Linked DNA regions of Cricetulus griseus. The protein of the gene in region 2 interacts with the protein of the main gene of each other region in a biochemical or structural test. Links are inferred from orthologs where the notes say so. Each region holds a gene or a part of one and is shown on either strand. Other genes may lie near its edges.

Evidence for each region.
Region 1: the proteins of Rad51 (region 2) and Rad54b form a complex in vitro, tested with the Homo sapiens proteins (2 studies listed by BioGRID). The link is inferred for Cricetulus griseus from reciprocal best matches to the Homo sapiens genes RAD51 and RAD54B.
Region 3: the proteins of Rad51 (region 2) and Evl form a complex in vitro, tested with the Homo sapiens proteins (2 studies listed by BioGRID and IntAct). The link is inferred for Cricetulus griseus from reciprocal best matches to the Homo sapiens genes RAD51 and EVL.

The regions. Positions count from the first base shown.
Region 1 is NC_048595.1:125,734,951-125,745,370, forward strand, and holds the end of Rad54b (DNA repair and recombination protein RAD54B), read left to right. Parts: intron 1-1,510; coding exon 1,511-1,683; intron 1,684-2,091; coding exon 2,092-2,353; intron 2,354-4,174; coding exon 4,175-4,241; intron 4,242-4,411; coding exon 4,412-4,612; intron 4,613-6,986; coding exon 6,987-7,204; 3' UTR 7,205-7,377; downstream 7,378-10,420. UniProt on the Homo sapiens protein: Involved in DNA repair and mitotic recombination. May play an active role in recombination processes in concert with other members of the RAD52 epistasis group.
Region 2 is NC_048599.1:59,370,889-59,382,245, reverse strand, and holds the start of Rad51 (DNA repair protein RAD51 homolog 1), read left to right. Parts: upstream 1-4,056; coding exon 4,057-4,143; intron 4,144-8,422; coding exon 8,423-8,560; intron 8,561-11,357.
Region 3 is NC_048598.1:186,090,505-186,101,761, reverse strand, and holds part of Evl (ena/VASP-like protein), read left to right. Parts: intron 1-2,402; coding exon 2,403-2,466; intron 2,467-3,404; coding exon 3,405-3,466; intron 3,467-4,822; coding exon 4,823-5,052; intron 5,053-5,608; coding exon 5,609-5,730; intron 5,731-8,429; coding exon 8,430-8,490; intron 8,491-9,918; coding exon 9,919-9,982; intron 9,983-11,257. UniProt on the Homo sapiens protein: Ena/VASP proteins are actin-associated proteins involved in a range of processes dependent on cytoskeleton remodeling and cell polarity such as axon guidance and lamellipodial and filopodial dynamics in migrating cells.

The DNA of each region.
Region 1 (10,420 bases), on a different chromosome or scaffold from region 2:
CAACAGCTAGCATTATAGGCATGTACCACCACTCTCTGCCCCTAATTTTTTTTAACTTTTGTTAAATTTGGTACTTAAGTTGTATCTGTGAGCATTGGTTTTCTTATCTGGAATTTGGAGCAAGTAATTGTTTCATGACAGTTATTCCATTATGACAATTTTACAAGAAATTATGGGAAGAACCTAACAGAATGCCTGGTTAAAAAAGTTGCACAATGATCATTAATGGTATTTCCAGCTCATCATGGAAAACTTTTATTCAGTTCTTTAAGCAGTAAAATCAAAATATGTTCCCAAATAACCTTCCTAACAAAAACTGTGGGTGCTAGTTTATGTATGAGATCATTAATTGTATATTTAAAAAATGGAGTGTTCTAATAGAATTCTCCAAGTTCATTCTACAATGGATCTTATTTACTTAGTTTATCATAGAAGTGAGCTTTATGTAACTCTGCAGAAGGCTGGATTATAATAATTTATTAAGCAACTTAAAAAAAACAGATTCTACATACAAGTGGTAAAAATTAAACCTTTTGGACATGAAGCCCAGGAAGAATAGAAGCCAAAAATTTTTCCTTAAAAGGAAGAAATTATGATGGCTCAGAATATGTCACTTAATTTAGAATGTTTTTGCATTTTTTTGTGTGTGTATTTGTGTATGTGTTGTATATAAATGTGTGTGTCTACCCCAAATCATCAATTCTTTACAGTGTAAGCATATTAAATTATTTCAACTAAACCCTGGGTCAAGACTTCTTCAGATTATAGGTATCTTATGTAGATCTAACTTGACATATTCTATCAAGTGACTTGACCTAAGTATATTTTGTGTGCATGTGTCAATAGCCAAATTACAATTGAATATGTGCCCAGAAAGGTTTGTTTGCTACAAAAGAATATAACATGCATGATCGTAAGAGGAGTTAAAAATATATACAGTACTCAGTTAAATAAAGCCACGTATGAAATACTGTGAAAAAAGAAAAAGAAAACCAAACAAAAACAAACAAACCAAATTGTGCCGGCATGGTGGCACATACCTTTAATCTCAGCGCTCTGGAAGCAGAGACAGCTTTGTGATCATTTTAGAATAAAGTAACCTGAGTCTCTTCATAAATAGGGCCCTGGGTTCAATGAGAGCATATCCCCCACCCCAAATGTGTCGTAAGATAAATTGCTCTGTTAGCTTACAGATGACATCATTACTTATGAAGAAACTGATATGATTTATGACTCAGGAAACTTGGCTTGTTTTAGTTTGTAATTTGGGAGATGCTGTGAGCCACCTACAAATAAAGAGAAAAATAATAGGGAGGGAGGGGGACAGTGAACCAGAGTAAAGTATTGATAGGAGATGTCAGGGTTGGAAAGGCCCAGAAACTCTGAGGAGGCATGGTATGCTTCAGAAGTGGTAACTGTGACCTGGAAAGGTTTACTTCACAGTTATCTGGGCATTTTTCTTCCCATTAAAACAGTAAACATGAACCAGTATTTACTCACATTTGAACAGAGTAAAGAATTTAGCTCAAGTGATGAAAATGAAGAAATGAATCTATGCAAAGGCTTGCTGACTCTGTACCCTACTGGTTACGACCCTCTCCAGTTCTCTGAGAATGAGTCTGGGAAACTACAAGTGTTGGTAAAGCTCCTGGCAGCAATTCACGAACTTCGTCCCACCGAAAAGTAAGCCCTGTACCCAGCCCCCCATGTTCTTGTTACCGTACCCTGCCTCTACTTTCCCTAGTGTCAGTATACTTGGTTTACTTTCTCTAAAGAATACATTTCTGCAAGTACCCTAGTCACATGGAGGTGGGACCTGGGGTTCTGGGTACCGATACTCTAAACTCCTTCCTTCTGAGGAGCCTTGGCAAGGTTTTAAGGTATTTGGACTAGGGAGTTGGCTCCCTGGTTAAGAGTACATAGTGCTCTTCCAGAGAACCTGAGTTGACTAACAACTACTGCTCCCAACTCTACTTGCTGTTGCTGTTCCTTCTGTTATATCAGTGTTGCTATTTTCCTTTAACTAAAAAACAAAAGAACAAAATACTGTCTTAGAATGTTATGTAACAAACTTTTGTTTTTGGTTGACAGAGTGGTTTTGGTCTCCAACTATAGACAAACCTTGAATATTTTAGAAGGCATATGCAAGCGCCATGGATATGCTTGTGCCAGACTTGATGGCCAGACACCAGTCTCTCAAAGGCAGCAAATAGTGGATAATTTCAATAGCAAATACTCGACTGATTTTATTTTTTTATTAAGTTCAAAAGCTGGTGGTGTGGGACTTAATCTTATTGGAGGATCTCACCTAATTCTCTATGATATTGACTGGAATCCAGCTACTGACATCCAGGTAGGAATATTTATGCATTAAGTCCATATTATGTATGCCTAGGAGATCAAATATGATGATGTGTAATTAGTCGTTGGGTATTGGGCTCTTGTTTTGTATCAGACACACTTTAATCATCACAGCATCTCCACATGTGGATGTAAGTAGCCCATGTTTTCTATATGTGAGGAAATGGAAGTTTGTTCTTCCAACATAAGAAATGAAAACCAAGCTTCATGTCACACTGTACAGCTAGGCTTGGAGGAGTTCCTGACCACTGGGGATAACGGTAATCTGTATGGATGCTATGAATGATTTGTGTATACTGCAGTGAGTCCACAGCATTAACTTCTTTAGGAAACTGTGGAGAAGCCCAAGATTTTTTCAGTATACAGTCCACTTTCATGTATTTTGAGGGTTTTGACATACAGATTTTTACTATAGTTGGTATTTCATTATGGGGTCCTAAGACAACAATTAAGTTTTATGATTTTCTAGGCTTCAGAGAATTGAGGAAAGCAGCCATATTCACAGTTATTATTTTATAAGGATACATAGCGCAGAGTCCAGGAGGGACCAGGCACAAACTCAATGTGTCCATTCCCTCAGAGCTGTCTGGACAGCACTTAATTCATCACTGATGAGTGATGGCACAGCTGGAGCATTACCAGCAAGGTTTGCTCTTCAGGGTTTTGTAGGGAGTTGGTTCTGTAGACACAAAGTGCCTCTATGACTGCCTGATGGATTTATTCAGTCTTGATTCCTTCCCTCCAGAGGTCAGTCAGATTCATACCATATGAAGCCGAGTGTATTCAATACGAGGAAAGTTGAAGGATGGTTGTAGAAATAAAAACTGCACTGAGTACAAGCTTAAGTTTCAGTAGGAGACAAAGGAGTTGAGGAAAGGGAATAACCCTGATTTCAGAATACAGGATACAGGATGCTTGTGGACAGACAGAAAACAGGCATTTTATTGGTTCTTTAAGTGGCCTCTGGTTTGTTGCTCATGGGAGTGGTACTCTTTGAAATCTTTATCTTACAAGTTAAGGTATTTTCTTTTGTAAGCTTTAGATCAATAGGTAGTTTGTGTGAAAATTGATGGCTGGGCATGCTGGCATTGTCCTGTACCTAGTGGGGTTTTCCCCTTTTGATAAGGTAACTAAGTGACAGCCACATGCATACATTGTTAAAGAGAAACTCAATATCAGATTTCATGGATTAAGGGCATGAAAGCCTAGCATCTCTTGTCCCTATGTGTGTTGCTATTACTCTTCAGTTAGAAGCATTTTGGGGAGGAGTGTGCAAGGTTTAAGCATTAATGCTTTACTGCACAGTATCATAGTTAATACTTAAGCTAGAGGGAACCTAAAGTGATTGCAGATGCCTTATGGAATTTTAAAGAGTGAATTATTAGCTGCTTGGACCCTCCATACCCAGGCTGTACTTAGTTCTTTGCATCATGGTTGTCATGTTTTATCAAGATACCCATCTCACTGTTTCATGGACTCCTGCAGCTACTTCACATGCCTGCACGAGTGCTCGTTCAGCCTCCCTCTGAGCCCAGGGCAAAGATGTAAAGAGGGCAAGTGTATGCCATTGGTATGTGTGTGCAGCTGGAGGACAGCTTGCAGGAGCTCTTCTCTCTTACAGTGTGGTTCTAGGCTTCAAACTGGGACTGTTAAGCTGGTGCTTTTACCTGTGGAGCATCTTGCTGGCACCCTGCTTTGTTTTTTGAGTTATTAGTGAACTCCAGAATTCTCTATAGTAAAATATATTCCTGCAAATTGCTTTTGTGCAAGGGCCATCAGTTTCTACTATACTCAGAATTCTTATTTTGTCTAGGCTATGTCTAGAGTTTGGAGAGATGGTCAGAAACACCCTGTGCATATTTACAGACTCCTGACTACAGGTAAAAAACCTTCATGTGACAAAAATGTATCTCCTTAAAAATTTCCTTTTGTTAGTTTGTGCTTCAATATCTGGAATATACTCTTTTATCAGACAATAAGTAGCAAATGTGTTTTACCCAACACAAATAATAGACACAAGAAGGGAATCTAATGTGTGTTTTCTCCCTAGGTACCATAGAGGAGAAGATCTACCAAAGGCAGATCAGTAAGCAAGGCCTTTCCGGGGCAGTTGTAGACCTCACCAAGTCATCTGAACATATCCAGTTTTCAGTGGAGGAGCTTAAAGACTTGTTCACGTTGCACGAAAATTCACAGTGTGTGACCCATGACCTGCTCGACTGTGAGTGCACAGGAGGAAAAGGTCACACTGGTGAGTAGTTTGTTGATTCCACTACCACAGTACTTTGAAAACATTTAAAAGGTGACTTACAAGGAGCTGCCATTTGCATGTATTAGTTTTCTTGGTCCCTTGAGTTGTGGGGCAGTTACTAGGTGTACGCTTGAGAAAATGTTCAATAGAATTTTACTCTCTGTTTAGTTTCTTATTTCTGAATCTGTTGTGAAAAAAAATTAACTTGTTTAGGCAAATCTCTCAGTGCCTGGTAGAGTGGCTTCAGAGTAAGAAAGATGTTTTAAATTTTATTGCAATTTCATAAAAATCCCATACTTAGTAGAATTACCTATTGTTTGTTTAACCCATGTAAGATTTGTGTATAAATGGCGCCAGACTTTAGGAGGTGCTTAGAAGAAGCAACTGTACTTCTCAGTGCTTGAACTACATGTGATGTTCAGTAAGCCTGAAAGCATGTCTCTCTACACTTAGACACTGTTCACAGGACAACTAGAAGAGAATCGGGAAGTGAGGAAGCAATGTCCAGGGATGGGGAGTCACTTGCTAATTTATACTGTTAGGGGCTGGAGAGATGACTCAGCAGTTAAGAGTGCTCTATGCACAGTCATGAGGTTTGGATCCTGGCACCATGTAACAGACTATCATCTGGCCTTTGTGCAAATGTACACAAGTGTACCCCCCACTCAAGGGCACATATACTCACCTCACACCCATGTGCACATAAATAATAAAGAAAATCTTTAAAAGATTAAAAAATATTGTGATGTTTAAGAAGTTACTCTTTTTTAAACTTCTTCCCTCCCTCCCTCCCTCCTTCCCTCCCTCTCTCTCTCTCTCTCTCTCTCTCTCTCTCTCTCTTCATTTCTTCCTTCCTTTCTTTCTTTTTGGCTTTTTGAGACAGAGTTTCTCCGTGTAGGCCTGGCTGTCCTGGAATTCCCTCTGTAGACCAGGTTGCCCTTAACTCACACAGATTTGGTGCCTCTGCCTTCTAAGTACTGGGATTGAAGGCCTGCACCAGCACCTTCTAGCTTTTTTTAACCTCTTACAATTGGAGGTATGTGTGATGTAAATACAGTACTTATATATGAAATTCTCAGAAACAAATATATGTCCATACATATCAAACTCAGAGATTCGCATGCCTCTGCCTCCCGAGTGCTGGGATTAAAGGCGTGCACCACCATTGCCCGGCATGACTTAGTGATTTTCAAACTTATTTTCTAAAATGGTTTTTAACCCTTTAAATTTTCTTCTATATCAAGCCCCATAAATTTAATATGTAATCTTCTCATTATTAAGTTTTAAATATTTCCTGTTTCCTATTGTTATTTCTTCTTTACTCATAATTTAAGAATATTCTTTCAGTTCTAAACACATGTACAATAATACTAAATGGACTCAGCAGTTGAGTGTGAGTGTGTGTGTGTGTGTGTCTGTGTGTGTATACATGGGTGTGTATGTGTGTGTGTGTGTGTGTGAGATAATAATTATAGAAGAAGCCACTCCCATTCAAAGGGAATGAGTGGGATGTGAGAGAAGTTGGAGGTGTATAAATGATGTAAACACAATAAATTCGCTGTAAGTTCCTAGAAATAGCAATATGCTGGGCAAGGGTGGGTCCCTTTGCTCCTCAGCTGTGTTATCTTCCATTGTATGGATAGATCATAGTTTCTTTACCTGCCACACTACAAATGTGTAATTAGTTATATACTTTTACTTACATACTGTTTTCATACAGTCAAGTACATATCTGTTAGATAACTTGTTAGTGCTACTACGTGTGGTTCACAACTGTCTAACTCCAGCTTCAGGGGGTGTGATTCCTCTGGCCTCCTTGGGCATCTGCACTTATATGCACATACCCACATCCAGATACAAAACATGCAATTGAAAAAGAATAAAAAAAGATCTTTAAAGAAACCTACTTGATGAGTTCATCAGTAGTCTCTATGGCCCATTCATAGGAAGCCATTTTGCAGTCTGTTAGCAGGCTTGCTGCTGCAGAAGATCAATGTTTTTGATTTATGGAGTTCAAACCCCCATGCTTGCTTTTGCAAACCTGTCAGGCCTTACAGAATTGGTTTATTTATTGGTGCTGGAGATACATCCAAAGACCGTATACACACAAAACCAGGGCTCACACAGTGACTCCATCTTTGGCTCTATCCCATAGGGCTTAGATAATGGATTGTGGACTGGTAAACCTTTCTTTGTGAAATTATTTGTTTGGTCGTGTGTGTCAGGGGCTGGGTACTTATTGAGTGGGCAGTAATTGCCCATCAATATTTGTAAAAAGGATGAATGACTGAGTGAGTGTCTTATCTAAACTGTGTGGTCAGAAATGACATATCGCATGACTCACGAAGAGGTCTCCTGCTTTTACTCATTTCAGATGATGTGTTGGACACCCCTGCCACCTCTAGACAGTGTCAGCTCGGCCCTCAGCACCAGAAGTCTAGCTCCCTGAGACCTCTGTCCATGTCACAGCTGAAGCAGTGGAAGCATTTTTCTGGCGACCATTTAAATCTTACAGACCCATTTCTGGAAAGAATAAGGGAAAATGTGTCATTTTTTTTCCAGAATATAACCAACCAAGCTCCTTCCATCTAGTGAAGGACTACTTTCTAACATCCCTTTGCCCCCCTTAAAAATTAATAAAGGAATTAAATGTAATTTTGAAAGTTAGAAAATTATTTGAATTATAATAGTGAACTTTGTTTCACAATATGCCAATTTAAATACAATAAAAACTGAGTGGTTTGCTTTCTTGTGTGTATCCTTCAGTGTTGAAAATGAAACGTTCATGTGTGAGTCTGTGACTGATACTCTTCACCCAGTGCTAGAAGTTCCATTTGCATTTCCCTGGTGGTTAAGGCTGTCACACATTGTCCACCATGTTTTCTGGCTGTTTCTTTTTTTGAGAACTGTTTGTGTAGTTCAATTAGCCCATTTACTGATGGGATGGTTAGGGATTTTTTGCTGTTTAATTTTTGTGGTTCTTTATGTATCCTGGATCTGAATCTCCTGATGAGAAGCTGACAAAGACTTCCCTTCCTACAGGCTGTCTCTTCACTCTGGCATGGTTTTCTTTGCTGAGTATACGGGCTTTGCCTTTGTTGTTGCTTTTAGAAATGGAGACTAAAGAAGGGAAAGCATGCCAGGAATGGGAGTGGGTGGTAGAGCTGGGACATTGTTTCCTGTGAAGAAAAGCCCTGCCTATGCCCATGTCTTGAAGGGTCTGTTTTCCTCTAGCAGTTTACCAAATTTCAGGTCTTGATTTTAAGTAGATTTTTGTGCAGAGAGAGATGAATCCAGTGTCATTCTACATATGGAAACCCAGTTCCTGTAGCACCATCGTGTAACATGAATAATAAAAACCCAGAGGCAGATATTAGGGTTCAAGATGAAGATCAGAGAAGCAAAGCAGCCAGCCAGTAGAGAGTTCTCACCTCCATCAATGCTCAGACCAAAGGGGCGATCCACCTAACCTCAGAATCCTAGACTGCCATGCTCTCCTCAGTGTGGCTGGAGACGAATTGCCTAAGACTGACTTTGCTTCTTCCTTATATACTCTCTAGTTCTGGGATTAAAGGTGTGAGCTCTGTTATTCTTTTAGACTGATTCACTCTTATGTAGCCTTGGGTGGCCTTGAACTCTGAGAGATTCATCTGCCTCTGTCTCCTGAGTTTTGGGATTAAAGGTGTGTGCCACCATTGCCCAGCTTCTATAGCTAATTAGAGTGGCTAGCTTTGCATTCTGGTTTTTTGACTTTGTTTTGTTTTGTTCTTTTGAAACAGGGTTTCTCTGTGTAGCCCTGGCTGTTGTAGAACTCACTAGGCTGGCCTTGAACTCACAGAGATCCATCTGCCCCTGCATCTGAGTGCTGGAGTTAAAGGTGTGCACCATTACTGCCTGGCTTAGCTTTGCATTTTGATCCTTCAGGCAAGCTTTATTAAATCATAAATAATATATTACCGTACTGTAGGGAGACACCATAACCACGCCTCCTAAGGGCTGGCTACAGGTGTGCCCGACCACGCCCATCAAGGTGTGGTCAAGGTGTTGTCAGGGTGACATGTGAGAAATTTAAAGGCATAGGGAACGCACATGGTAGCTCTCTTTTTCCCTGCTGCTTTGGCTTGCTCTGCTTTCCTGCCGGTTGGCTACCTAATTAATTGTGATACCACACCATTGTTAAAAAGTCCATCTTTTCTCTGCAGTGTGGTTTTGATAGCTTTACCAAAAATTGGATAGCTGTAGCTACAGGTTTGTTTCTGGGTCTGATCTTCTGTCTGGCCTATGCCATGGTTTTGTTGTTGTTTCTACTGTGGTTGTGTATATGCTTTGAGATCATATGTTGTGGTAACGATCACTTCAGCTGTTGGGCCCTTTGTGCTTCTAGATTTACTTAGGATCCTTTTTCCTAGTTCTGTGAAGCATTATCATTGGACTTTAATGAGATTTTATTTAGTCTGCAGATTGCTTTTGGTAATATAAACATTTTTACAATACTAATTCTACTAAAACATGATGCTGTATTTCCATCTTCTAGTATGTTCTTCAATATATTCTTAAAGTGCCTTGAAGTTTTCATTCTAAAAATTAATCCCGGGTAGTTTTTTTTGTTTTTGTTTTTGTTTTTCAGCTCTTGTAAATGGGACCCCCCCTTGATTTCTCCCTTGATGAGTTTATTATTGATCTAAAAAATGCTACTGGTTTTTCTGTAATTTTTTTGGTAGTGTCTCAGGTCCATGCTGGTCTTGAACTTGCAATGTAGCTGAGGATGACTTTGAACCTCTGATCCTCCTTCCTCCATCTCCCAAGTATTAGAATTACAGGAGTAAGCTACCAATCCCAGTTTATATTGTGCTAGGGATTGAACCCAGGGCTTGGCACATGCTAGGAAAGCAGGCTACCAACTGTGTTGCAGTCCCCAGCCTCTGCAAGCTGATTTTATGTCTTGTCAGTGTGTTAAAAGTGTTTATCTGATGCAAGAGTTTCCTTTTTAGAATAGCATGTTAGGAGCTAAGAACTATTAGGAGGTATGGCCTTATTTGAGTGGGTGTGGCTTTGTTGGAGGAAGTGTGTCACTGTAGAGATAGGCTTTGAGGTCTCATATATGCTCAAGCTTCGCCCAGTGTGGGACACAATAGCTTCTGCTGCCTGCAGATCCAGATGTGGAATTCTCAGCTCTTTCTCCAGCACCATGTCTGCCTGCACATCACCATGCTTTTCATTATCACAACCTCTGAACTGTAAGCCAACCCCAATTAAATGTTTTCCTTTATAAGAGTTGCCGTGGTCATGGTGTTTCTTCATAGCAATAGAAACCCTAACTAAGACAAAGACTTTGGACCTTGCTAGGCCAGGGATCTGTGGGGTTCAGACTCACTTCTCCCAGATGTTGAGGCCCCTGTTAATATCTGGGTTATATATATATATATATATATCTGTTTTCCCAGTCATCGACTCAGCTTTGTAGCACTTAACACATTCTCTCTTAACTGCTGACTTGCTTTGTTCTACTCTTATTAAGCTGAGTTCCTTGAAGACAGGCTTTCATTTTGTCACATTCATTCAATCTCTGGGCCATCTGCCGCCCAAAGCACACAACAGCTCCTTAGAGCTCAAATGACTGATGAACTTAACCCCCTTCTCATCTTCAATGGTCTGTTGGGTTCTTTGCTCAAAGAACCGTGTTCCACACTGTTAAAAAGACCAAAAGAGGAACTGTGAGGTGTTCTAGAGGTCTAGGCATTGTTGCACAAATCTGGGACCCACATGTAGGTGGAAGAAAAGACCTAACTCCCCATGCATGCCCACATG
Region 2 (11,357 bases):
TGCCAAAGGTAGGCATTTCGACAAAAACACACACCTCAAAGACATTTTCCGACTTAATGCCAACACCCGGGTGCGCAAGAACTTTACAGAGCAGCGCGCGCAGCGGTGCATGCTGGGTGATGTAGTCCTGGGCCGATCACATTGCCTTTGGGGACTTGTAGTCTTCAGTCAGCTAGCTAGAAAGGTCAGCTGAGAACAGTCATAAAGGTAAATATGACCTACGGAATCACCCAGCTTCCAAGTCGTCGGGCAAGTCCGTCAGGCTCCCAGCGGAAGTGGCTACAGGCGGGGCCGAGAAAGGCGCGATGACGTTGCAGTGATGCGGGCGTAGCCGTCTGTGAGCGTTTGGCGGGATTTCTGAAAGTCGCGCGTCCCTGGGCGAAGTGCGTGCAGACGGGTTCCTGTTCAAAGCCGTGTTTTCCGGAAACGCAGCTGGGAAGGCTAAAATTTGCTCCTGTTCTTCACAGAAGACCGGACAGAGGAGCCGGTGACGGTGGTTCTTGTGGCGTGAGCAGACCCGGCCGCCAAAGGAGCGCGCGGCCCACGGCGGCTGCGGACCGGTGAGTGCGAGCGCGAGGGCGAGCGCGGGCCGCCACTCCCTCCGCCGCTCGGGTTCTTCAGCTGGAGGCCAGGGCTTCGGGTTCCCTCTTCGCTGAGAAACGCGAGGACGGCCGAGCCTGGGGCCAACCGACCGACGCTAACCGATTTACTGAGCTCGACGTGGAGAAAACCGAATCCTACTTCAGGCTTTTGTTTTGAGACCTGGCTCACGCCCTAGGCCAGGCTCTGCTGGAAAATTCCTGCCTTAGTTTCCCAAATGTTGGAATTACAGACTTTCACGTTCATTTCCGTGGCCCCGACGCAAGAAGCCGAGAGCCTGAGATAAGTGCCCACAGCTGTTAAATATTAGGGTTGTTTGTTTGTTTGTTTGTTTTTAATTTGAACATAGTGGTTGGTGCCAGTGATTTCTGGAGGCTGAGGTAGGAGTTCAAAGACTGTGTAAACAGCAGAGTAAAGACTAAAAAGTGCAACACATATTTCTAAAGAGAATCCTAGCTAGATGATTCACACCTGTACTATAGTCCTAGCACTTGAGAGGAGAGGCAGGAGGATGGCACTTTCAAGGCCAACCTGAACTACATATGGAAGAGCATGTTTCAGGAAAAAAGTGAAATAGGGGGGCTGGAGAGATGGTTCGGCGTTAAGAGCACTTGTTGCTTTTGCAAAGGACCTGAATTCAGTTCCCAACACCCACCTGAAACCACCCATAACTCCAGTTCCCGAGGATCCGGTTCTTTATTCTGACCTCCGCAGTCACCAGGCACACTTGTGATATACATACATATATAGGCAGGCAAAAAACTCATGTACAAAATGTAAATATAAAAAGAACTTTCAAAAAATAGCAGTAGTAAAGTGAAATATAAAAATACAAAATCCACAAATGAGTGCATGCATGAATTATTACAAAATGAGTATATCTGTGTAATCAGGACGTAAAAGAAATCAAATGTTGTCATTTTAAAAACCTCTGTTATCATTCATTCCTTGTCTAATATTTCCCCCTCACCCTAATGGCTAAAGAGTGATTTCTAATACTGTTCACTAATTTGACCTATTTTTACAAAACCTTATTAGGCAGGGTCTGACTTTGTAACCCAGAAACCGGTCTGGAACACTGTATCCTATGGTTTCTGCCTGCTGGGTTCTGGGACTACAGGAGAGTGTCATCATGCTAGCCTTGTTTTGGTTTTATTTACTTACTTTTAAATACTTTTTTTCTTTAATTAATTTTTTTTTTCATTTTACATACCAACCCTAGTACCCCTCCCTCCCCTTCTCCTGTCCCCCATCCCCCTTCCCACCTCCAATCCACTCCTCAGAGTCTGGAAGGCCTTCCTTGGAGAGTCAACAAAGTTTGGCATACCAAGTCCACTCAGGACCAAGCCCCTCCCCCTGTATCAGGGTTGAGCAAGGTATCCCATCCTAGGAATGGGCTCCAAAAATCCAGTTCATGCACTTGGAACTGGTCTCGGTCCCACAACTCCCCGGAACCCCATATGGGTCAAGCCACATAGCTGTCACCCACATTCAGAGGTCCCCCAGCTGTCAGTTCATAGTCCACGAACTCCCACTAGCTCTCCTCACCTGTCTCTGAGATTTTCCCCGTCATGCGCTTGACCAGCCTTGTTCATATTATCCCTCCTCCCTCACTTTAACTGAACTTTCTTGTTTTTCAAGATTTATTTATGTGTATGGTGCTCTGTCTGCATGTGTGCCTTTATGCCAGAAAAAGGCATCAGATCCCATTATAGATGGCTGTGAGCCACTATGTGGTTGCTGGGAATTGAACTCAGGACCTCTGAAAGAGCTGCCAGTGCTCTTAACCACTGAGCCATCTCTCCAGCATTGTTTTTGTTTGTTTGTTTGTTTGTTTATTTATTTGTTTATTTATTTTGATTTAGAATCTTAGCCCAGGCTGACCTTGAACTCTATTTCCTGATTCTGCTTCCCTAGTGCATCTTTGCCTGTTTTTAAATTTCATGTAAATATACCAGTAGTAGTGAATGTGTAATTGTTCCTTATGCTTGCCAACACTTGCTGTTTTATGATGGGTATTTAGTAATATCTTACAAACTTTGGAGTGGATGTAGAGGTTTCTTATTGTGTAGCCCAGCCTGTCCTTGAACTTGTGGTTCTAATTTTCTTGGTTACTGATGAGATTGCATGTTTGTTTATATTTTTTTGCTGTAAAGATACCTTCTTTGATTATCTGATTTCTGTTGTCCTTTTTTTTCTTATTTGAAGTAGTTCTTTATGTTTGTATTTTGATTATCCACCTCTGATTATGTATGTGGCAAATATTTTTTTCTACTGTTACGATTACGATTTTATTTTATTTTTTATTTTTTTGGTTTTTCGAGATAGGGTTTCCTCTGTGTAGCTTTGGAGCCTATCCTGGCACTAGCTCTGGAGACCAGGCTGGCCTCAAACTCAACAGAGATCCGCCTGCCTCTGCCTCCCGAGTGCTGGGACTAAAGGCGTGCGCCACCAACGCCCGGCTAGAAGTTTTATTTTTATTTATTTATCGAGACAGGGTTTTAGGTAATCCAGGCTAACCTCAAATTTGCTATATAACAGGATGACATTGAATTTCTAATCTCCCTGCCTACCTCCTAAATGCTGGGATTACAGGCATGCCCACCATATCTGGTTTTATACAGGGTTAAAAGCTTAAAGATCTTTTTCGTAGTTATTTAACCTGCTCAGGGACCTGAATTCCATCTTCAGGATGGAATTGTGCTGAAAATAAAATATAGTCAGTTTTTTTCATTTGCTTTGTGGTGCTGAGGATTCAACTCAGTGCCTTGTTCTATTCTATACAAGAACTGTACCACTTGCCATATTGCTAGCCTGTGTTTTCCTACTAGAGTGTTGTTGCTTTGTGTATCATCCTAAGAACATAAAACTATTCTGGGCTGGGGAGATGGCTCAGTTTCTAAGAATACTGGCTGCTTTTCCAAAGGACCCAGTTCAATTCCCAGTTCATAATATTAACTCCAGTTCTTGGGCATCAGACACCTTCACACAGACATACATGTAGATAAAATGCCAGTGTACATAAAAATAAATAAAATTAATAGTAAAAAAGAAAATACTCTGATTTGAAATTTTACTCACTATGTAGTATGGGAAGGCTTAGAACTTGCTGCTTTGTAAAAATATATCTTTAAAAAAAATCAGTTTGAATCAGCTATCCTTGGCTGCATGCAGCCCACAGTTGTTAGACACACCTGACTTTTTAAAGCTTATTTTTATGTGTATGAATATGTTGCCTCTATGTCTGTAAGCATAACGTTCATGTCCAGTGCCTGGAACTGGAGCTATAGACAGTTTATGAATTTCCATACGGTTGCTGAGACCTGAACCTGGATCCTCTTTAAGAGTAGCAGTTGCTCTTTACCTGTGGATAGTGTTTGTTGGAAAACTAACTTTTTACCCAAGAGTATTCCCCTAGTGTTCATTCATACTGATGCCTATCTGTATTTTTTAGTAATGGCTATGCAGATGCAGCTTGAAGCAAATGCAGATACTTCAGTGGAAGAAGAAAGCTTTGGTCCACAACCTATTTCACGGTTAGAGGTATGTTCTTAGTTGCTAAGTATTTATTTACTTACAATGCTGTAATACATTCTTGTATGTAATGGAACAAGTTAACCGTTACAGAAATTTCAGGAGGTTGTCAGTTTCTATGAAAAAGCACAGGATTGTTATATATGTCTTGTCTGGTCAAGTCTCTTTTGACAATTCTCTTCCTACTCTATTTTCTCCCTAAAAGCTGAACTTTAGAAACAAGGGTCTGGGATCCCATGGAATCATACTGCTGCTTACACTAAATATAAAAATGCTGATTAGGGAATTAGTGGTGTAACCCAGGAATGCATGTAGGAAAGAGGAACAGCTTCTCTCCATTGGCTCAGGTGGAAGATACTACTGAGAAGGCTGTTGTAAGTCAGGTTGAAGGGTGTAGGTTGTTAAGATATAAGATCCAGCTCTATGTCAACATTGAGAATATGAAGCATTAGCTGGGTGTGGTGGCTCACAGTCATAATTCTAGCATTTGGAAGGCTGAGGCAGGAAAATCTCTGTTGGAGGCCACCCTGGTCTACATAGCAAGTTGTTGTTTAGTGAGACCTGTCTCAAAAACAAACAAGCCACAAAAAAGGCAGCAGAAAAACCAGAGACTTGGGGAGATGCTCTGTGTATAAAGTCCATGTCATGCAAACAATGAAGACCTGAGTTTGGATCTCAATCACCCATAAAAGCCAGGCAGAATGACATATGCCTGTAATGCTAGCATTGAGGAAGTGGAGACAGGGGGATCCTTGGGGCTTTTTGGCCAGCCAGTCTGGCCAGTCTGAGAATCAGGTGTAGTGATGTTAAACTGCCTGAGGCAGACACTCAACATTGCCCTCTGGCCTCTGCATGTACACTCAAGCACACATGAGCACATGCACATACAACACACACACAAACAAAAGCAAAACGTACTAAATCTGTGCAGTATTTCTTCTGTCTCAGTTTATATACTTTTCCAATCTGCCCAAACTTTTAAGACTTTGGAACTACTTAAATGAGCTGAGCTTGGTGGCACTTGCTTCCATGGTGGAACAGAAAGAATCAGGAGTCCACAGTTCTTTGCTCCTATCAGGTTTGAGCTGCATGAGACCCTCTCTAACTTTGTGGCACTGCTTCTCTCGTTCCACCTTTACTTAAATGGGGTGTGATCACCCTTCAGAGTTCATGGTCATTTCTTTTTAAAGATTATTTGTGTATATTTGGGGCTGGAGAGATGGCTCAGTGGTTAAGAGCACTGCTCTTCCAGAGGTCCTGAGATCAATTCCCAGCAACCACATGGTGGCTCACAACCATCTATTATGAGATCTGGTGCCCTCTACTGGTGTGCAGATATACGTGGAAGCAGAATGTTGTATGCATAATAAATAAAATCTTTTTTTTAAAAAAAAAAAAAGATTATTTGTGTATATTCAGGTAAGCCCATCTAGGTGCTCATACCCAAGGAGGACAGAAGGGGGTGTCAAATCTATTGGAACTTGAGTTAGAGGGGGTTGTGAGCCACCAAACAGGGATGCTGGGAACTGCATTCCAGTTTTCTACAAGAGCAACAAGCACTCTTAACTATTGAGCCATCTCTCCAGCTTCTATAATGTTTTGTTTAAGATTGATTTATTAATTTTTTAATAGGAAGATGAAATAAATTTTCCACCAAGTAATTTTATAGGACTTTTAAAGACACTGGGACTAGTGCTGCACAATCCAAGTTTAGTATATTGAAATGAAGGTTTATTGAAGGAAATGGTGCTAGCTAAATAACTTTAGTTCCTAGCTCTTCATTGTAAATATATAAAATTGTCATTTCTAACAGGTTGTATTATCTCATGATTATTTGATTCATATTTTTTTTTTTTTTTTTGTCCTGCTCCTTTATTATTTTTCTTTTGAAACAGAGTCTCTACCTGGAACTTACTATATACACCTGGCTGGTCTTGAACTCACAGAGATGCCCCTGCCTCTTCCTCCTAAGATTCATTTTGTTTTTTTGAGACAGGATCTTACTATGTGGCCTTGGCTGGCCTGGAACTCACTATGTAGAGCGGGCTGGTCTCAAACTCATACAGATCCACCTGCCTCTGCCTCCTCTGCTAGAATCCTTCTCTGGCTGGAGATTTATTTATTTTCATTTAATGTGTGTGCTGGCTAGCTTTATGTCAATTTGACACAGCTATAATCATCTGAGAGAAGAGAACCTTGATTGAGGAAATGCCTCCAGAAAATCAAGGTGCAGGCAGCTTGTAGGGCTGCAGCAGTTCCTTCCTCCAGGTCTCTGTCTCTGTTTGAACTTCTGTCCTGACTTTTGTCAGTGATGAACAGTGTTGTGGAAGTGTGAATCAAATAAACCCTTTCCTCTCCAAGTTACTTTGGACATATATAATAACCCTAAGACATTATATATGAGTGTTTTGCCTGTATGTATGTATATCTACCACATGAATGACTAGTGTTTGTGGAAATCAGAAGAGGGCATGGGATCCTCTGGAACTGGCGTTACCAGGTAGTGTGAGCTGCCATGTGTTTTCTGGTTACTAAACTTGAGTCCCCTGCCAAAGCAACAAATGCTTTTAACCATTGAGCTACCTCTACAGACCCCATCCCCAACTTGACACAACCTAGAGTCATTTGGGAAGAGGAAACCTCAACTGAGAAAATGCCAGTCCCAATTCTGTGGGGCATTTTCTTTTTCTTTTTTTTGTTTTTTCAAGACAGGGTTTCTCTGTATAGCTTTGGAGCCTATCCTGGCACTTGCTCTGGAGACCAGGCTGGCCTCGAACTCACGGAGATCCGTCTGCCTCTGCCTTCCCAGTGCTGGGATTAAAGGTGTGCACCACCAACACCCTGCTCCTGTGGGGCATTTTCTTAATGATTAGTGTGGAAGAACATTGGGTGGTGTCACCCCTGGGCAGATGGTCCTGGGTTGTATACAAAAGCATACTGAGGAAGCCACTAGGAACAAGCCAGTAAGCATTCCAAGGTCTGTATTTTGATGTAACATGAATTAATAAAGGACCCAGAGACAGATATTGGGGTTTAAGCTGAAGATCAGGGAAGCAAAGCAGCCAAGCTTCCAGAGGGCTGGGGTATTCCTGTTCTCAACGTGGCTGGAGAATGAATGCCTGATACTGACCTTGCTCCTGTCTTACATACTTCGCCAATTCTCGGATTAAAGTTGTGTGATCCCAGGTGCTGGGATCAAAGGCATGAACTGTTTCTCTTAAGGACTGGCTTCTATGCCTGACTTTGCTTTCTGAATCCTCAGGCAAGCTTTAATAAATCATAAATAGAGGGCTGGAGAGATGGAAATAAATACAAAATCTTTAAAAAATAAATCATTAATAATATATCTTTACAGTTCCCCTTTTTTTGTCTAATACAAAAAGAAGGCTACAACTGACATAAGAAAAACTATTTATAGAAAGTACAATATATAGGCAATAGGTTCATCAACAATGTATAGTCCATTTGCATTTGACAAGTTCAGAGAAAATATTTAGTCCACTTTGATTCCTGTCCTGTCTTCCCTCAGGACAGATTATACGTTGTAAGCTGAAATAAACACTTTATCCCAAGTTGCTTTTGGTCATGGTGTTTATCACAGCCTCTATTTATTTTAGTTTTGAGACAGGGTCTCATGCAACCTAGCATGGCCTTGAATTCTCCATGTAGCTCAGGATAACCTTGATTCCTGATCCTCCTGATTGCACTTCCCAAGTGTTAGGCATGTACCAGCATAGCTGCTTTTGTTTGTGTTGTTTTATTTTTTTAGATTAGTTTTATTATTTTATGTATATGTGTCTAGCTTTCATGAATGTGTGCATCATCTATGTGCCTAGTACCCTCAGAGGTCAGAAGTGGGCATCAGATCCTCCTGGAACTGGAGTTATAGGCAGTTGTGAGCCTGTAACACATGTGCCTGGGATAGTACATGGGAGCCAGAGGTCAACCGCAGTATTTTTTCCTCAGGAGCCATCTATCTATCTATTTATTTATTTATTTATTTATTTAAGATACACACTTTTTGGCCTGGAGTTTACTGGTTAGGCTAGGCTGCCTGACTAGTGAGTCTTAGGGACCCAAGTGTCTCAACCTCCTCAGGGTAATAGCAGACACTATCTCCCTAGCCTAAAACTTAGTTTTGATGATGAAAAAGTGTATAGCTTGTTATTTAATAATTCATATGTAGACAAGTTTTTAGAGGCTTTTTGTGTATTAGTGGTCTTCAAATACCTAAGTTGTAATATCCGTTTTAGACAAGAGGCCTAAGTTACCCATTGTTTTCTTACAGCAATGTGGCATAAGTGCCAATGATGTGAAGAAATTAGAAGAAGCTGGTTTCCATACGGTGGAGGCTGTTGCTTATGCACCAAAGAAGGAACTCATAAATATTAAGGGAATTAGTGAAGCCAAAGCAGACAAAATTCTGGTAAGTATAGCTATGTGATGGTGGGGGAGGACAGATGCATTAGTGAGAATAATTACTGCAAAACAGTATATAGTGAATGGTTGTTTGCTGTTTCAGGGTCCTTGGTGGTGGGGCAAGTAGACACCAACAACACAGGAACAAGTTGAAACAACAAAGTGAACAATAAAGCTCACTTTATATGCCTCCCACTCTGCCCCAGGGGGTGGATCCACTGAGCTGGCATCTGCTGAGGATGTAGTCACTGTCCATAGGTCTACATTTTCTCTGGTTAGACTCTGCTGCTGTTGTCCAGGCCCTCTGGCAGCTGTCAGGAAATATCTACTGCACATGCTCTTACTATCTGTCTAGGCCAGCTGTCAGACACATTGAGGCTTAGTTATCCCACCATTTGCCTCTTCCATTCTCTTGTCATCTTTCTAGAAGTGACTGTTGGCAATTTTTGTTTTTCAAGACAGGGTTTCTCTGAGTAACAGCCCTGACTGACCTCAAACTCACAGTGATCCTCTTGCCTCTGTCTCCCAAGTGCTGAGATTAAAGGCAATGCCAACACTGCCTGGCTGTTGGGAGTTTTTATCTTAAATTCAGATTTCCTGTAGGAATGCAATATTGTGGAATTTGATACAAATGCTGCCAAAAATACTGTTTAACATTCCCAGTAGAAGTGATTGGTATGCACCTTACTATTTTGAATATGATCTCTCCTCATAAAGATTTTTCCTCTTTAAAATTATTTTGTTTTATGTGTATGGGTGTTTTGCTTGCATGCTTGTCTGTGCCCCACATACATGCCTTCAGAGGCTAAAAGAGTGTGTTAGATCCCCTGGAACTGGAGTTACAGATGTTTGTGAGCAAACATGTGGGTCCTGGGAATCAAACCTTGGTCTTCTGGTAGCACAAGTGCTCTTAACCATTGAGACATTTTTCCAGACCCCAGAATATGTTTATTATGTATGTAGCCACTAAAACAATTTAGAAGAATATTGACGTCACATCATTAGGTGCAAGCCTGCAGTTCAAACTACTGTGGGGTCTATGACAGGAAGTTGGAGGCCAGTCTCTGACATAGTGAATTCATCAAGGCCAATTTGGACAACTTAATTTAGTGAGACCCTGCCTCAAAGTACAAAGAGACTGGGTATATAGCTCAGGGGAAAGTACTTGCCTGGCATGTGCTAGGCCCTGGGTTAATTATTAGTACTTCTAAAGAAAAAAAGAGAGAGAGGTAATGATATTGATAACATGTTTATATAAGAAGGCAGGTGAGAGTTGGGAATGTAGCTCAGTGACAGAGTGATAGCTTGGTGTGCTGAAAGCCTTGGGTCCAATCACAACAACAAAAAAATCACGTTAACAATATACATTCATATCTCTTCTAATGCTTTCCTTAGCCTATATTAATGCATATTATTACATTTTCATCACGCATATATTTTCATCACACATATATTTTCATCATACCCTATCATCCTCAATTGTCTCCTTCCTACTCTTGATCCCCTTCTTTCCCCTGAACAACTACTTCCGTGGCCTTGGGGGTTGACGTGATGCAGTGAGTTTCATTATACAGTGCCATGGTGAGCATTTGCTCACAGTAGCTACACCACTAAAGAAAACATTTCTTTCCCCCATTAGCCATTAACAGTATATAAATCCAGGAGTGGGGGTAGGGCCCCATTAAAATATGTGTATTTTGTATGCATGTATAGAATGTGCACTAGAATAGATGCACTAAAATATTAATGTTGTTATTCCTCCATGGTAAGAATATGAACTATGGGCTGGCGAGATGGCTCAACTGTTAAAGCTTAGGCTCACAACCCAAAATATAAGAATATGAGCTGCATATTGTTTTGATTTGACTTTTGTCTCTGGGCTGGGAATTGAACCCAGGATTTCATGTAGGCTTTAAGTACATACTCTGCTATTGAGCTGTGCTCTAGACTTCTTTCATTTTTAAATTTTATCTGTTTTATTTTATGTGTATGAGTGTTTTTCCTGCAAGTGTATATGTTGCGGAAAAAATTTTTTGTACACTGTGAAGATGTGCCACTGTTATTGGTTTAATAAAATGCTGCATGGCCAATAGCTAGACAAGATTTGCAGGCACAGAGAACACTGGGAGAAGGGTAGAGACACCAGGAATCGCCAGCCAACTGAGAGGACACAGACATGAAGAAGAAAAGAGGTAAAGCCACAAGTCACATGTAACTGATGAATAGAAGTGGACTAATTTAAGTCAAAAGAGCTAGTTAGAAACAAATCTGTTATTAGCTGAGCCTTCATAATTAATAAGTCTATGCCAATTTTTTGTGAGCTATCGGCCCAAATAAAAATCCATTTACATGAATATGTACACCATGTGTATGCTTGATGTCTGCAGCTGCCAGAAGAGCATGTCTGATCTCCCTAGAACTGGAGTTAAAGACATTTGTGAGCCACCATGTGGGTGTTAGGAAGCAAACCTAGTCCTCTACAAGAACAGCAAGTACTCTTAACCACTGAACCATCTCTAGACTTGTGTCCTTTTTTTAATTTATAATTTTCTGACATCTACATTTTCCATAGTAAGTAGGCATTACTTTCTCCAGGTGGTGGTGGCACATACCTTTAGTCCCAACACTTAGGAGGCAGAGGCAAGCAGATCTGTGAGTTCAAGGCCAGCCTGATTTACAAAGCTACACACAAATCCTGTCTTGAAAACTCCAAAAGCTATTTTATTGCTTGGATATTAAAATCCTATATGAAGTTCCAGTGTGTATACTCTATAGCTTATTTTATCAGAGACAGTGTCTTCCTG
Region 3 (11,257 bases), on a different chromosome or scaffold from region 2:
TGCTGGGGACTGGGACCAGAGCCTCAAGCTTGTGCAGCAAGCACTTCACACCCCATGTGACCACCTTTGATTCCAGCCCCAGGGGACCCAGTGCCCTCTCTGGCCACCATCAGCACCCACACTCTGAAGACACAGAGACACACAGAAATAAAAATAAAGTAATCCTTTTTTTTTTTTTTAATACCCCTAAGTACTGAGCTGTAGAAGGTAAATCAGGGGATCAGGGGCCCTCCTTTTCCTCACCCTACCTCTTACAGGGACACAGCTCAGCTCAGGAGGCAAGAGGTAACACAGTGAGTCTGTCGTTGTGGCCAGTGGTTACAGGCATCGGGGAAGTTACCTGCCTTAGTCAGAAGAGGACAGATAAGATTAGTCAGGACCAGAGCTTCCTCACTGGTATCCACTACCACTTGAGAAGCACTGCTGGCTGAAGGGGCCCCCGTAAGTGGGCTGCTGTCCAGGGCTTCCCAGGGGACCAGCAGCCCTTCTAGCTGACCATGCCATGGGACAGCTGGACCAGTGGGTAGAGAAGAGGGACTCCAGGAGCTTCTTCTGCTTTCAGCTGACTCTAGAATGTATCTTCAGGACAGAGCTCTGAGCCTGCAAGGGACTGCGGCTCCTGATGGCCTTTCCCTGCTTTCTGTAGCAGCAGGGGAGCTGAGGGTTTGGGGAGTCTAGGCCAGCATACAGATTGAGGAATCCAAGTGTGTGACAGCAGAGCACTGTGTGAGCATGGCTGCAGCGGCTACTATGGACCATACATCCAGGGTCTTAGTCCTGAAGTAGTGACCACACCTCAGACAACAAGCAACACAAGGTTGCCTGGATATGAACGCAGCATGCAGAAGGAGGAAGGACAAAGTCTGAACTCAGGGGTGAGCTCGGTGGTTCAAGCTAGAACTTAAGGCCTGTGCATTAATTACTTGTCTGCTGCTGGGAGAAAACACCATAACCAGAAGCAGCTTACTTATTTTGGCTTCCAGTCCCAGAGGGGTAGAGTCGGTTGTGGTGGGGAGGAGTGGCTGTGGTGGGGAGGAGTGGCGGTAGCAGGGAGCAGAGATCACAAAGTAGCACAAGGCTGTGAGCGCCCTCCCAAAGCCTGCCCCCAGTGGCAAACTTCCTGAATCTCCCCCAAACAGCACCACTAACTGGTGACCAGGTGTTCAAATAGCCAGGGCTATGGAGGACAGTTTCCATTTAAACTACCACAGCCTTAGCCAGGCTGACAGCAGAGCCCCAAAATGTAGGGCTAAGGTGTTGTGAAACCTGCCTTTGACAGAATGAGTGAGGCAGGGGTCAAGGAGCCCCTCCTACTGAGCAGACACAGGTGAAACCTGAGAGCAGTGTCTAGGGACAGGGAAGCTTGTGTCTCTTCAGGGAGCCTGTGAGTCCAGCATCTCATCCTTCAATCCAGTCTCAGTCTGACCTCATGGTGAGACTGAGCCTGAGGAAGAATGAGACACTTGGCAAGGGTTTTGTCCTGCTCTGAGTCATGCATGACCTTTGAGCAAGTCATCTATCCTTCCTGGGCCTGGTTTCCTTAGTGGTCCCAAGTCCTCCTGGACACCTCCTAGCTGTGTGAGAATTGCAATTGTAATATAGATTAAGCAAAGAAAGTGTCTGGGCATTGCTCTGATGACGTTCCTACAGTACAGTACATTTTCTGCACCTAAGAGGATTAGGACGAAGACCCTGGGCTTCAGGGAGTAGGAGGCTGAAGAGTCTCCCTGCTGTCTGAGCTTCTCCCAGCAGGGGGAACAAAGCTGCTTGCACATCTCCTCTGCCAGCTGCTGACTGTGTACTTCCCAAGGGACACCTGGCCGGCGGGAAACAGCCAGCTCTTTCTTTTGGAGCTGCAGCCTGGATTTCTCTTTAAATGTGGCACAAAGCATGCACCAGCCCTCCTGTGACCATGAGGCTCGGCAGAGGGATCCTACCCTTTTGGGTACAAAGTGGGTGTGGCCAGAGTGTTTCATGGTGGCCCAGAACAAAGGGAGCAGTAGCAGGACCTGACTCTGCTGCTCATGGCTGCAGACTCCCCATGTGAGCAGCAGGTACAAAGGAGGGCCACGTCACCTGTGTAGTCCCTAGGTTCAGTCCAGCCCTGCCACTCACCAAAGACCCATCAGAGCTGATGATTCTTAACGTGCTGATGGTGGGCTCAGGAGACACTGGCAACTGAAGGAGCAGACACAGCAGTGCTGTGAAAGAAAAGTGGGTAGATGTTAACCGTTAGCACTCGGGGTCCCAACTATGCTCCAGAGGGAGGAGCCCCAGGAAATGAAGAGAGGAAGGGTGAGGGAGAGACGGAGGCCAGGAGGGTGGAGAGCGCGCCGTTACAGCTATTTGTTGGGCCTTTCTTCCCTCTACTGACCACTCCACTCTGCGTCTCTTCCCTACAGGCCCCTCCACACAGCGTCAGGTGCAGAATGGCCCCTCTCCTGAGGAGATGGACATCCAGAGAAGGTAACCCCATGACTCACAGCTGCCTGCCTGAAAGCACCCTTCAGCTAGTCGAGACACAGTCAGGCCAGCACTGTCGGGCCAAAAGAAACACCTACTGCATGCCAGAGATCTGTGAGCTCAATGCAAATTAAGGATACATGTCCTTGCCATGCAAACCCATACTTCCCTAAACTCCTTCTGAAGCATGTCTAGAAACCCTGTGGTGCCAGGTGGCCCTCGAGGCCTGTGATCTTCTGGCCATTTCTTCTGAGGCCACATATTGAAGCCATAGGCCCCAAACAGCCAGGTGAGTCAATCAAATGAGCCAGAGAGTCACACGAGCTTCTTCGAGACACTTCCTGCTCAGGGTGTCCTGGCTTGCCAGTCCTCTTCCATCTCGGTACTTGAACCCAACACATCCCTCTCTTTCTAGGAGGCAGCCTTGGGAGGTGGGGAGATAGCTCAGTCAGTAAAGTATTTGCCAAGCACTAATTAAAGCCCCAGTGCTCTTTTTTTTTTTTTTTTAAACAAAAAGTTAGATATGGCATTACCCACTCTAATCCCAGAGTTTTGGAGGCAGAGACAGGCAAACCCTGGAGTTCACTAGCCAGCCAACCTTGCCTACTTGGCAAGTTTCAGTCCAGAGACCCTACCTCAAAAAAAAAAAAGGAAGGAGAGAGAGAGAGACTAGAAGAGAGTGGATGATACCAGGGAACAACATTCAGGGTGATCCTTTTGTCTCCACACACGTGTGCACATGCAAACACACACACATACCACACGTGTGCATGTGCAAACAGACACACACACACACACACACACACACACACACACACACACACACACACACACACACAGCCAGTGCTGTGGCTCTCAAGGATGCCACAGAAGCAGATTTCAAGCCTGGGCTTTCAGGCACAGACAGGTCAGGGTATCTGTCTGCTCTGGTTGCTTTTCAGACAAGTAATGGAGCAGCAACAACACCGCCAAGAGTCTCTGGAGAGAAGAGTCTCTGCCACAGGTGAGTGAGGGTCACCTTCCACCCACCCTGTCCCAAGTGGCCCCAACTCGGACAGAACTCTTCCGACTTCTGACCACCTAGGTTCAAAGTGTGCTCCTCACTTCAGATGGAGTGGAATGGAGCATAGGATTAGGGAGCCTCCGGGCCCTCCCGTTGTTCAATTCCTCCAGTAGACATGTAGGGGAACCCCTGTGTCAGGGCACTGAGAGCTAGGGACATGCTATCAACAAGGCAGACAACAGTTCCTGCCCCCAGGAAGTCATGGTTGTCCTAACGTGGAGTACACACTGTGCCACGGTTGCTGGAGACAGTCAGGGTCGGGGGCTGAGCCTGGAGAGGAGGGTTCCTGGGTGCCAAGTCAGGCCTGTCACACCTCGGGAAGGGGTGTCAGGTGCATTAATGGGGCAGGACTTTCTTATTTGCCTTGCGCTATAATTGTAGCCTCATCTTACCTAACTTGCTCAGTGCCTTTTCAAGTTCTGTCTTGCTCATGGGAAAGCAGCCTGCACTGGGGTGATACTGCCCTCTCACCTGGTACCACAGCAACTCCTCTGTGCTGCCCGGGCCCCTGCACACAGTCTGTGAGCAAGTCAGCCCCTCCCATCACCCTGGGACACAGCTCTGAGGTGCAGCCTACCCTACACTCTCCCTTCCCACATCTGCTCTAGCACCAGCTTCTCCTTTCTTTTCTCCCAGGCAGCCCATTCTCTTTGCTTACGCCTGTTTCCCTTCACTTAACTGAACACCTCCTTTCCTGTCTAGTCCCAAGAACGTCAGACTTCCTGTGTGCCTGTTCTCGGTAGAGCTTGCCTTTTAGCTCCTGTCTGTTCACCTCTGATTTGTTCTCACAGCCTGAGCTGTTTTCTTCCACACATGGCGCAGTACCTGACACACAGTGAAAGCTCAGGCAGCTTTCAGTAGAGGGTGCCTGGCTAAGGTGCACAGTGAATGCCAGCGCTCAGCATTCATGGTTTCTTAACCAAAGTCCCAGTCGGCTCTGGGACCCAGGGACCAAGGGTTATATGCAGTTACTTCAATCAATGCCAAAGATGGAGCCAAGTACTTAGAGTGGAAAAAGGGCATTGCCAAGAATTTCCCTTCCCACTGGAAAAGCATGAATGGAACAAGAGGAAGTATGCTGCGCTCAAGCAGTGTTGGGCCAGGCTGAAAAGACTAGAATAGAGAGTGAACAGGGCCAAGTTCTGCAGGGCCTTCCTGAGAGATGCAAACTGTTCTGTTCCTCATCTCTCTGATGAGCAAGCTGCCCTTCATTCTTCTCCAGGGACCCGAAATAACAGCAGTAGACTGGACACCAGCTAGGTGCCGGACACTGACTCCTCCCCCATTGCATTTCAGGGCCCCTCCTCCCACCTGGGCATCCTTCAGTGGCAGCCAGCGCCACCCTCTCATGTAGTGGACCTCCACCCCCACCTCCACCCCCAGTTCCACCTCCACCCACAGGGGCTACGCCCCCGCCCCCGCCCCCTCTGCCAGCTGGAGGAGCCCAGGGGGCCAACCACGATGAGAGCTCTGCTTCAGGACTGGCTGCTGCCCTGGCTGGAGCCAAGCTGAGGAGGGTACAGCGGGTAAGAGGGTGGGCAGGCCAGGTACCCTTCACAAAGCACCTGTCACCCTGCCCTCACCTGTCATCAGGGAGACACTCTCACTGATGTGGCTCTCAGGAGTACCACAGAACCAGATTTCAAGCCAGGCCAGCCTGCCCTTTGCCAGTTAGTAAACAAGTAAGAGGGGGACAGCTCCTTGTCAGCTACAAGCTGCCTTAATCAATAAGTCCTGAAGCCGCCTTTGCTTTTCCCATGGACCTGCTTCCCACTGAGCCAGTCTGCTCCCCACCCAGGTGCATTTGCTCTGGAATGAGCAGCATGCAGTCAGTCGGTCGTAAGAGGGTGCCTCTGATGCATATCTCTGGCTTGAAATTTGCTTCCCTCCTCTCCTGTGACCAGCTGACTTTGGCAAGGACTCAAGCCTCTGAGCCTACCATGTCAATGCCCTAGTCCTCTCTAGATGCGTGTTTTCTGACCTGTGGAGCTGGGAGTGTTAGACGAGCAGCCTCACTCCTAAGGTCTTTCTTCCCCCTGCACCCACTGTACCAGAGTGTGACACACGCTTCCTCACCCTCAGCCAGAAGATGCTTCTGCAGGCTCCAGTCCTAGTGGGACTTCAAAGTCCGATGCCAACCGGGCAAGCAGCGGGGGAGGTGGAGGAGGCCTCATGGAAGAGATGAACAAACTGCTGGCCAAGAGGTGGGTCCCATGCCTTCCACAGTCCGCGTGCCTCTTGGGAAGCTGCCGTCCTCACCTGAAGGTCATTGCTAAGAAACATCCAGGGGGCATTCACAAGCCCAACCAGCATAAGGCACACTCCCAGGGTTAGAGCGCTCTCTAGAGAATGTGGGGGAAAGTGTCCAGTAGCTTCATCACAGGAAATGGATTGACAAGATGACTTGAGCCCAGAGACGGGAGAAGGTAGGCCCCTGTGTCAAGGTTAGCTCTGGGCCTGTTTTCTGGTCAGCACCTCGGGTATGGTTCTAAGTGTGGCCAGCACCAGGAATGCTGACTCTGGTCACTAAGGCTATGGCTGATCTGAAGAACCAGAGGGTACAGGAGTAGACCTGGTGTCAGAGCACTCTGCGCCTGAGAAAAGCTCAGCACAGACAAAGCCACAGCAGAGGCCTGCTCCCTGGGGCTCCAGTGGTACAGCAGGTAAGGATTCCTGGCAGGGTGGGCAGGCCAGGCACCCTTCACACATCAGCAAAACACTTCTCACTGTGCCCTCACCTGTCATCAGGGAGACAGTGAACAAAAGGCGTCCTCCATGACCAGGTAGATGGACCTGTCCCGGGTGAGGGGACAGTTGTGAGAGTCCTGGCCCTTGGTTTGCTTTCTCATCCCCCTCCACCTTCCAGGCTGACCAACCTGAGAGAATGCTGTATGCCTAATTCATTGTTGTCCTAATGCAATCTCATTAAATCCAAGAGGGAGGCTCTGTGAGCATGAAGAGAGGAGACAGGTCCAGAAATGCAGACGGGTAGCCAGGCTGTTGCCTCATAGTGGGACAGAACCTGGCCGCCTACATGCACACAGCAGCATCTGCATTGAAGACTAGTACAGAGGGCCGTGAGGTGGTCTGTGGCACTGGCCTTCCCAGGTCTCTTAGAAGGGTTACACAGTCATCAATTGTCCAGACAGGAGCCAGACATGTAAGCAGCCTTCACATAGCAGTAAGTCAGGGTCTGCATGAGGGAGAGAGTGGGCCTCACAGAGGGGGCTCCACCTGTACTCAGCTTAGAGGAGTTTGGTTCTCTGGGCTGGGGGATAGCAGAGGTGCCAGGCAAGGTTTTGAAGCATGCGTGCAGAACTGGACTGGTAGAGGCCGGCTAGAGCTCAGGCTGAAAAAGTACCTCATTGCCAGATGGATTGCACCTCAGAGCACCCAGAGACGAAAGGGCTTCAGATAAGAGCAGAAAAAATGTTTACACCTTCCCAGTGAGCTTAACAACTTGGCCTAGATGGTGTAGCCCAAACTACACCAGGAAACTAAAAACAGGAAAAGGTCAGAGTTGCCAGGAGCCATGAGGACGCCAGGTGCTGGGGTGGGGGGTGGAGGTGGGTCCAGGCCCTACAAAAAGCAAATGTGCTGTGCACATTTGAAGATCAACCAAGCAACTCTGGGATCCACCTCAGTGAGACTCTGAGGGTCCTGCAGCTTTTGTCTCCAGCTTTTCCTCTAGCAGGAGAACAGGGGATGTGAGCACTTAGGGCTGCTATGTTGTAGCCAGTCCTGCCACAGGCGTTTGCCTATAAATCTTAGCAGTGTAGCGCAGAGTGGCTTGGTCTCCAGTTGTCACTTTTTACAGTGTTGGGATGGAACTCATGGCCTCACACACGCTAGGCAAATGTATTACCAATGAGGCACACTCTCAGGCCAGGCTACCCTCTGTTTTTAAGAGATGAAACATGGGCTTCTGAGCATCAGTGCTCGGAATGGGGTAAAGTGACTGAGTAGACCCGTGAAGACCAGTGTACTCCAGGTGATGGTAACTGGCATAGAGCTTTCGGCAGTGAGAACAGGTCCCACTGGGAAGATCTAGAGAGAGAATTAATGAGACTCCATACCCCTGGGTTGTGGGAAGAGTCCTTTTGAGATGAGACAGCTGTGTGAGCCCTGCCACTGCAGCCAGAGGCAGCTCCTCACCATACACTAGGCCAGCTTCCCTCCTGACAGGCCACTCACCTCTGGTTTATGATAGGCTAATGCTTTGGGACCTCACAGAGTTGAAAATCCACCAGAGCACATTGTTGTGAAGGAGCCAGGTGGAGTGCTGTAAAGTTAGAGACCTGTGAGGAGAATGAGGATGTTGAGCAGAGGGCACCCTTAGTCCCTTGGTGTTACCCTGAACGGGGAAGGGTGTGACTAGGTTAACTGAGGTCCCAGACAGGAGAGCAGCAAGAGAAAGTGTGTGTGTGTGTGTGTGTGTGACTTGATGGTGAGGACAAGGTTTCCCAGCCAGACAGCTGTAACAGGACCTCCTGCAGCTCTGACCCAAGGTGACACACTGTGGTCCAGGGTACCATTCTATCCATAGGCCTTGAGTGTCTTGGGAGTAGAGCCTCTCAGCTAAACCCTGTCCTCAGGGACCTAAACAAGGTACAGCCAGCTCCTTTCTCCCTCAGAAGCTATGGCCAACACCAGCTGAGCTGAACATAGAAACACCCCAAGGGGCTTCCTTCCTGCCTGGACTAGTTTGGAGTCTAGGTCATGGGTGAGCACAGAAAGTCTTACCCTCCTGGCCTTGGCTCATGTAACCTGTTCACGTGAATGGACACCCTAGTCCACACACAATCTCCTGGGGAACCAAGTGTGGCATGGGGGCAGCCCAGAGTTCTAGGTCACTGTGAAACCTTGGGAAGCTGATTTTTTTTTTTCCCTCCCCAACATCTAGGAGAAAAGCAGCCTCCCAGACAGACAAGCCCGCTGACAGAAAGGAAGATGAGAGCCAAATGGTAGGTACCACTCTCCCTACCCCACTCACACCCTCAGGCTTACCTCCATTGTAAGCAGATCTCCCAGCAAAGACCTGGTTTGGAGGAAGCTGGGAGGGAGAAACAGGGATCCCTTCATAGTGCAGATCCAGCCAGGCTTGAGCCTGGAGCATTCTCTTGACCAGACCCTTGGAACTGTCACTTAGCAGGAAAAGCAGAAGTAGGCAGGAAAGCCCCATTCGCCAGGAGTGCTTGGAAGAACCCAGGGGGCCACTGTACTTCTGTACCAGGGCCACATCAAAGGATTTGGGTGCATCTGCTGGAGGCTTATGGAAGTCATGGCGGTTTTATTTCAAATTCCTTATAATTCTAAACACCCCACTTGAGTCTGTCAAGCCTACTGGCAGGGAGCTGAGATCCCCGCCCTGGCAGAGGATCCTGGAAACCTGGGCTCTGTCTTTGGCAGGCATATGGAGCCCAGTCTGGCAGCACAGCCCCCAGCCTCAACTTCTGTTTATGGTCACCAGTTTTCTTTAAGTGCATGATAAGCTTTCTTAAAACAAATAGAATTCTACTGGGACTACTGAGTGTACACCTCAGATACACACAGCATGAAGGCTGGCTGCCCCTCCTAGGAGAACTAGAGAGAACTGTATACCTAGGACCCGTGTATGCTTCCTGCCTCGCTCTCCCTACCTGCCAGCCAGTGAGGTGGGCTGGTGCCGCCGGGTCTGGGCATGTGCAGTTCTCTCTGCCACCAGCTAGCTCCTCAGCCTATACTTCTGCATGACCTTTATTCCCTACAAATGGCCTCTTAGACCCCAAGTTAGGAAGGTCACCCCCATTCTTGTAGCTCTCTGCTTCTGCCATGCCCTTCATACATTCAGGGTTGCCTTGCAGACCTGCCAGGGACCAAAGTGACCTGTGTCTTGCACCCCTGGGGACTTAAACCACACATGCTGGGAATACAAAGGCCTATGTGGCCAAGAACCACAGGGTGTCTGCATCGATGTGTTAGGACCTGGCACCACATTCCCTTGAGTCAGCCCTGTTTTTTCTTAGGTGGCAGCCTGTACTCCCCAACCTGTACTCCCCAGCTTCACAGCACCTTGAGGAGTGGATTTCACTGCTGAGGCTCCATTGAAACCCTTTCATGGGCCTCACTTTTTCCCGCCTTTTCTTAGGCAGATCTTTCTGTGTAAATCAGGCCTGGGTAGGGTGCTGGGGGCCAAGAAGTAACCCTTCCTGAGCCCCCTCCCTCCTCACTGCTCACAGTCTGGACAGGGAACCTGCTGGGGTGTGAAGGTTTTGTCCTTTAATGCCAGACATCTATCTACTGATCATATCCCTTGAGGACATTTGGAAAGCAGCTAGTGCAAAGATGTCCGGCCTCATCCCTAAGCAGCCTTCCTAACAGACTAATGAAAGGGCCCTTCTCTCCCGTTTTAGGAAGATCCTAGTACCTCCCCATCTCCAGGGACCCGAGCCACCAGCCAGCCACCTAATTCCTCAGGTAAGAGGGTACCTGGCCCAACAAGTCTGGAGGTCTTAGAGCAAGTGGTCAGCTAATCTAGCCACTTCACTCTGCATGAGCAGAGAGGGTCAGGACTACTGAGCCTCAGAGCTTCCCAAGGAGACCAAGCAGCCAGCTGGGCAGGTGTGACAAGGGGACATTGACCCTGGTCCAGCTGAGGGAAGGCACTGAGAGTACCATCTACAGTGGAGATGTCATGGTATGGCCTAGACAGGGGCTGGGCTGCCGGGAGGTTGTGGAGTAGTAAGGTTTTTGGGTTTTTGGTTTTTTGTTTTGTTTTGTTTTTCAGTTCAGAGCTTCTACATGTTAGTCTCCCAAGCTACCACTTAGCCACACCCCTGGCCAAGGAGCTATTTAATGTCATATTTTGTGTCTGCTGTGAAATGCTAACTAGACTGATACTATAGTTAGATCACCAATTGACCCTACTCTATCAGAAGCCCAGCCTGGCCCTACCCTGGTCACTGAGCCAGCTGTGGCAGAGGGAATGTGATTAGGAGAGTATCGTGAGGCTCAGCTGTGGGAAGAAGACCCAGACCCTGTTTGTTGAGGCTTCAACTCAGAGTGCACTCGGGGTCACTTGCACTGAGCCTGGGGCTCATGTGTGCGGCGAGGAGAGGCTTACCATAGAGAAGTCAGCTTGCCCACCTGACAGGTGGATCCTTGTGAGCTCCTGTCTGTACCAGGGTGCATGTCTGCCAGCCTTCTAGGACTTCCTGGGCTGTTGCTCCCTGTGTTGCAGATTCTTTGGTCAGTGTTACTGTCCTCTGTTGTCCTACAGTGTGGGTTAAGGGATTTCCTATGCTTAGCAGTTTTGGGCTGCCTGTGGTAAAGTATTCTGTTTGAGGCCACACATCTGGGGTGTAGCTGTGGTCTCAGGTCCTGTAAGCCCAGTGCACCTGCCAGGTGGCTTTGAGGTAACCTGCCTCAGACCTGAGGTTGGTCTGGAGACAAGGCTCAGCTTAGAGCAGGGCAGCCTCACCGTCCCTTTTCTCAACCCCTGGCCAGCCTGTTCTGCTCAATTTGGTATATTCCCTGTTGGAGCATGAACTGTAATCTAGTGCAACAAAGGTTGAGCTTCCCCAGTCCAAAAACCCCAAATGCTCCAAACTCTGAACCTGCAACACCCCGTGTCTCAGATGAGATGCCTGCACCACTAGACTTAGAAAAGGAAAAGTGGTTTCCAGACTCATTGTGAGGGGACTAGTGTACCAAAGTGCAGCGGGATCCCAGGCAGCCTGGCCAAAGGACAAA